2 linked regions of the Oryza sativa Japonica Group genome follow. The main gene of each other region encodes a partner of the protein of the gene in region 2 in a complex. Links are inferred from orthologs where the notes say so. Each region holds a gene or a part of one and is shown on either strand. Other genes may lie near its edges.

Region 1 (2,786 bases), on a different chromosome or scaffold from region 2:
TCATAGAAATTGGGGGTTATATAGTCCTTACGTAAGGGCCAGCCTATCCAACTTTCAGGCATTAGGATACGTTTAAGGCGTGGATGATTATCATAAGAGATTCCCACCATATCAAAAGATTCGCGTTCTTGAAAATCGGAACTTCTCCAAATCCAGAAGACAGATGGGATTCTAGGATTATCCTTTTGGGCAAAGACTTTTATGCATACTTCTTCTGGGTTATCTATACCATACTGTATTCTCGTAAGATGATACACGCTAGCTAAAGATCCACCGGGTGCAACGTCATAAGCACATTGGGAACGTAAATAATTGTAACCATATACATATAAAATGACAGCAATGGAATCCCAATCCTCTGCTTTTATTTGCAAAGTCTCTATTCCTCGATGATCGAAGCCCAAAGATCTATGAACCACCTCATGTTTGACTAGCCAATTAGATAACCAACCCTGCTGCATTATCTTGATCTCTCCTCCTTTGTATAAATATTTCGCAGTTCGAATGCAAGTTTGAAATATTGCCCTGCTCTTTCTTTTTCGGCACAAAGAGCTCCTCCTAATTCACTAATTTGTAGGAAGATACTGGACTTTTGGATTTGAAAAAAGTTTCAGAAGATATGTCTAAAGTAGATGGTGATTGATAGAGCAATTCTTGCTCATAAGTTCCAGTATTAGTACTGCGCCGAACATAAAGCTTGTGGCTGGTAGTAAAACATCGATTTTTCTTTTGAGATAGAGTTCGATCCTCAACTATTTCTCGCGATATCTTCTTACGAAGTTTTGTTAGGGCATCTATAACAGCCTCTGGTTTAGGTGGGCAACCCGGCAAGTAGACGTCCACAGGAATTAACTTATCAACTCCCCGAACAGTACTATAGGAATCCGTACTGAACATTCCACCAGTAATAGTACAAGCTCCCATAGCAATGACGTATTTTGGTTCAGGCATTTGCTCATATAATCTCACTAAAGAGGGAGCCATTTTCATTGTTACTGTACCGGCTGTTAAAATTAGGTCCGCTTGCCTAGGACTTGATCTTGGTACCAATCCATAACGATCAAAGTCGAATCGTGAGCCTATTAATGAAGCAAATTCAATGAAACAACAACTGGTACCATATAGAAGGGGCCATAAACTAGAGAGTCTTGACCAATTCGAAAGATCTTTTAGTGTAGTTGAAATAACGGAATTGGAACTTCTTTGGTCAAGTAGGGGAAACTCAATCAAACTCATAACTGTCTTAATGGAATCTTTTCCTTCTTTTTTTTTTTTGTCTGAATATTCAGTTAAGACCATTCCAAGGCTCCTTTTCGCCATGCATAAACTAAACCAACAACTAGGATAAGCACGAAAATGAAAGCTTCGATAAAAACGGATATACCCAATACGTCGAAACTCATTGCCCAAGGGTAGAGAAAGACCGTTTCCACATCAAAAACAACAAAAACTAGCGCAAACATGTAATAGCGTATTCGGAATTGTAACCAAGCCCCCCCCATGGGTTCTATACCCGATTCATAACTAGAAAGCTTCTCTGGTCCTTCACGAACCGGAGCTAAAAGTGCTGAAATCCAAAATGCTAAAATAGGAATAAGGCTTGCTATTATTAGAAATGCCCAAAAAATATCATATTCGTGAAGCAGAAACATAAATGTACTCCCATTAATGTGGAATAGGCGGAACTGAATTAGTCAATTCAAGTCAGCATTGTCAATTTATACAGAATTTCTCTCTTTTCCTCGGTGAAACAAGGATCGGTTTTTCTCAAACCAAAGGCTTAGTTTAGCCTTTGTTTCCTCTTTGCCACGTCTTCTTTAAAGATTCATCCAATGGAATCCCGACCCCCTTTCTTTTTGATTTCCTTTCTATTTAGGTATGGTGGAGACATAATTCTTATAGAAACAAAACTCTCTCGCTTCACTTTGTCTCATTTTCTCTAGAATCTCTAGAAAAAGGAATAAAAACGAAAATACTACGAATTAGAGCCTAATTAAGATAGGATGACTAATGTATGCAGCCTAATGAGGAGTAATTCTATAAAAATAAAGAACTCTATTTCAGAACGTAGATTGATTTAGATTTAGGTAATCTATAGATATAGATAAGCAAAGTAATATACTTCAAACAAAGTAGGAATTTGCAAGATGGAGAACATCTTGCAGTTGATTTGATAGAAATTCATTTTTCTTTTCCTGTCTCTATAATTTTCGATGAATGAGCCTCTGGTAATCCTTTTATCTCTATTTTATGGCGCAGGCGCCTGTCCAGTCTATAAACAAGTACTAATAGGGAAATGAAAACTATACTAAAGGAAACGTAGGATATCTCTCCTAAAATCTAAAAAAGGACATATTAGGGCTATACGGATTCGAACCGTAGACCTTCTCGGTAAAACAGATCAAACGGATTATTATCGAAATGATTCGAACTGTTTCAAAGACCCAACATGCATTTTTTTTGCATTGGGCTCTTTTATCAACTGATAGAAAGATCAGTTAGTCCACCATAGTTTTTCTTTACGGAAAGATAATGAGATGGCTCCCTGCGCTCTGATTGATTATTTGTATTATGATCTATCTAAGAGCAATACCAAAGTGTTTCAAAGGAGGATTACCTTGACTTAGGTCTCGCCGGCCTAAATTAAATCAACCTAAGTGAAATAGAGTCTCTATCGTTCCGCTACAAGAGTTGACTATGAGACTTCATACACCTTAAAGTTCATAGAACGAAAAGAATTTTTTTGGAGGCCCTTATCCTCATTAAGCCTAGCATTTAGTGGGCTG
Region 2 (3,306 bases):
TCGATAACTTATAGATGTTTTTTTTCTAAGTCGGAATAGATGGTTCATTTGCTGCTCAATATACAGTTCATTTTAAGATCAGTCTAGGTGAGCCTGATATAAGTAGCAGCGTAAACAGTTTATTTGCAGCATTACTGAATAGTACTATTTTCTTACTGCGTGGAATTGTACTCTGCAGTTTAGTACAACACAACTACCTAAGTAGCATGATGACATTAGTACTTAATGCAGCGATGGCATTTTTCTAAAAAAAGATTGAGATGCAGTTTTGTAATTGGCAATTTTTGAATTGTATGACACTCTTTTGCAGAATAATGCACATGAAGATCAATTCAGGCCATGGGTTGATGTTTCTAAAGACCACGAGGTTATTCCTTTGATCGATTGAGATTTACACATTGCAGCTGGTCAAACCCTCAAGTCCAAAACATTAAACATCTATTTGCGGGAATGACTCTCTTAAGGGTGACGTAATGTCATCAGCAGAGATTGTCTCGTATCTATATGGAATGAGATAAATAAATATATTGCCAATGATCGAGAAATAATTCCCTATTGGAATATGCGCACATCCTCTTTGCAAATAATTTAACATTGAGTTTTGCCTGTGAATTTGAGGGCTGGATTCCATGTTCTACCTGATCTCACCATCATAAAGCAATAAAGCAGTGGTGTTATTTCAATGTGATTGGATTACCTGAAGTATCGACATTTTCACACCGCTAATACTCAGCAAAAACCATAGAACGGAAATGCCATGAAACTAGAGTGCTAGACCCTTCCTTAGTCTTCACGACAGGGTAATACCCTCAGTTTGCTCAGCTTCTCTTTATGTAACCATGTTGGAGTCGACAAAATTATTATCGACTGTGAATGTTCTGCTTTTGTATGAACCCGATTTGAGTTCGGAAATACCCTAGCTCATGGCTCTTCTGGAAGAGCAAAATATACATTGGGCATCTTTGAACGGGAAAATCATTGATAGTTACATGCTTTCTCTTTAGGGTACAACACGCATTCTATTTTACATCTGGGATCTGGCTGCTGTTGAATTTGATCCTTGGTTTGCCCATGCTGAAATTGAGGACTCTAGACATCATGTTGTACTTTATCTCCCCATCGTATAGCAGTTTGCGGATGAAGTGCTCAAGATCAGATCCGATCAAACGAAGCGTGTACTCTGACAGCTCCGCGCCCTGTAAATTCAATCCAGGTCAGTTAAGCAGGTACTACCAATTAAGCTCTTACAACTAACATTTCCACCTGGAGAAAGAGACCATGGGTGTACACTACTGCTACCCTGCATTTGCAATTGCCAATTCTGCCTATGAGTTACGGTGCGTAGTATACCTCGTAGTGATCGACGAGGTCCTGGAACTCGTCGTAGACCTTCTGGCACGTCTCGTCGGTCCAGACGAACTCGTCGGTGGGGTCGAGGAGGAGGGTGAGCTTGTCCATCTGCGTCTGGTCGAAGGCGTTGGTCTCCGGGTTGATGTACGCGGCGTAGATGCGGATGTGCCGCGTCGTGCAACTCAGCCACTGCCCGCCGTACTCCCGGCTCATGTTCTTGCTCTCCGCCAGCGGCTGCACCGGCAGCGGCTGCGCCGGCCCCTGCCTCCTCGTCTTCCGCTCCCGCCTCTGCTCCTCCTCCTGCGGCGGCGGCGGCAGGTTTTCCACCGCCGCCTCCTCCTCCTCCTCTTTCACCTGCTGCTGCTGATCTTGGGCTCGCACCGGCGGGAACCTGACGCTTCGTCGCGCCGTCCACGTCGCGCGCGGGAGCCGGCGCTCGAGCGACAGCTTGGCCGGGGACAGGAACGGGGACGCCGTGGTTGCCATGCTGCGCGCAGCTGTTTCGCTTGGCTTTGGCTTGGCTTGTGTTTGTGTTGCGTGGGTGGTGGTGGTTTTTTTAGGTTTGCTGCGCCTGCGCGCGCGCGGCTAAGCTGCCGTGCCGTGCCGCCTTGGAGCCACTGGCTGTGTGTGGCTTGTGTGGATAAGGGCTATTTCTGGCACTGGGTTTCAGCGACTCGTACATGTTCTGGGCCAATTGACCACACAAATGTATTGGGCTGTGGACGTTGGCACGGCCTGTTGCATTGCATGACAGAGCTGAGCAGCACGCGCTCTCGTGTGGTATGGATAAATACTGTTGCATTTCTGACAAAACTTTGTATGTGACTGTTTTTTTATAACTCCATGTGGTGTGACGGTGATTTCATACTTAAAGAAGTAACCCACTTTTCCTCGGCACAGCAAAAGCAGAGGATACGCATACTCCATGGCCTTTAAAATAACGAGAGTAATTTTTTTTCCTTTTCACTTTGTGATGATCGCTTCACATGAAAGGCAAAGCAAAAGCCTCTGTAGTGATTTTAAGCTTTCTCAGGCGGGAAAAGTCTGTTCAGGATTACTCCATCCGTCCTATTTTAAGTGCAACCATAAATTTCCGTGTCTAACTTTGATCATCCGTCTTATTTGAAAATTTTTTATAATTAGTATTTTTGTTGTTGTTATGTGATGATACAACATGAATAGCACTTTACCCGTGACTTATGTTTTTAATTTTTTTTAAATAAGACGGACCGTTAAAATTAGGCGCGGAAAATCATGGCTACACTTAAAATGGGACGAACAGAGTAAAATACTTGGGAGACATGTACGTCGTACACCGGAGACTTGGAACACTTAAAACACTTTATTATATATAAACAACTTGTTCATATATATATATATATATATTGGGCAGTAATGTAATCTTGGCAGCAATCAATTACTACAACTAACGTGTATGCATGGTGCAGCAAATAGAATACTTACAACTAACGTACGAATGAACCAATTCAAACGAATGAAATTTAATCATGTATTTATGTACAAAGGAGAGACATAAGAACGTAGCTCGAGCTAGCCATGGACATTGGTCTGCATCGCCGGCGGCAGCAGCTCAGGAAGCCCGGGCGTCGATGCAACGATGAGGGGTATCACGGGGAGGTTCTCGCAGTTGCAGACCTCGATCATATTGCCGTCGGGGTCGTGGAAGAAGAGCTGGTCCACCACCGTCTCCCCGTCCCACACTTTCCTCACGACGAACTCCCGGTCCATGGCTCGTAGCCTCGCCTTCATGACCGCCATGTCTGAGCACTGCCATTCGCTCAAATCGAGTTAAGACAAATACGAACTCTGCTCTCGAACATAACAGTAGCTGATCGACCTGCGTGCATGCGACTGATACCTGGAAGGAAACGTGGTTTCCCATCGGGTTGATCGCCGGCAGCGGTCTTGTCGGGATGCTGCAACCGTCGGCGTCGT

Evidence for each region.
Region 1: the proteins of nAD(P)H-quinone oxidoreductase subunit M, chloroplastic (region 2) and ndhK are in contact, whole or in part, in a cryo-EM structure (PDB 7WFG), measured with the Arabidopsis thaliana proteins. The link is inferred for Oryza sativa Japonica Group from reciprocal best matches to the Arabidopsis thaliana genes NdhM and ndhK. Residues at the interface, in NP_001031804.1 of Arabidopsis thaliana: Trp89, Ser91, Val93, Thr94, Arg95, Ile104, Asp105, Pro106, Glu107, Asp117, Lys118, Leu119, Thr120, Leu121, Ile122, Leu123, Asp124, Thr126, Val130, Trp131, Glu151, Ala153, Pro154, Leu155, Arg161, Gln181, Tyr182, Asn183, Met184, Asp185; in NP_051063.1 of Arabidopsis thaliana: Ser3, Ile4, Lys5, Phe6, Pro7, Met83, Pro87, Val90, Arg91, Tyr101, Val126, Asp127, Lys128, Leu129, Ile130, Pro131, Val132, Asp133, Tyr135, Lys156, Glu160, Arg173, Cys174, Phe175, Thr176, Thr177, Asn178, His179, Lys180, Val183.

Annotation. Positions count from the first base shown.
Region 1 is NC_001320.1:48,011-50,796, forward strand, and holds ndhK (NADH dehydrogenase subunit K), read right to left. Parts: upstream 1,237-2,786; coding exon 559-1,236; downstream 1-558. Other genes in the region: ndhJ (NADH dehydrogenase subunit J), read right to left, coding at 1-461; ndhC (NADH dehydrogenase subunit 3), read right to left, coding at 1,290-1,652. UniProt on the Arabidopsis thaliana protein: NDH shuttles electrons from NAD(P)H:plastoquinone, via FMN and iron-sulfur (Fe-S) centers, to quinones in the photosynthetic chain and possibly in a chloroplast respiratory chain.
Region 2 is NC_089038.1:27,480,271-27,483,576, reverse strand, and holds nAD(P)H-quinone oxidoreductase subunit M, chloroplastic, read right to left. Parts: upstream 1,877-3,306; 5' UTR 1,837-1,876; coding exon 1,351-1,836; intron 1,197-1,350; coding exon 1,020-1,196; 3' UTR 656-1,019; downstream 1-655. Other genes in the region: uncharacterized LOC4336531, read left to right, coding at 311-388; uncharacterized LOC4336529, read right to left, coding at 2,902-3,138, 3,230-3,306. UniProt on the Arabidopsis thaliana protein: NDH shuttles electrons from NAD(P)H:plastoquinone, via FMN and iron-sulfur (Fe-S) centers, to quinones in the photosynthetic chain and possibly in a chloroplast respiratory chain.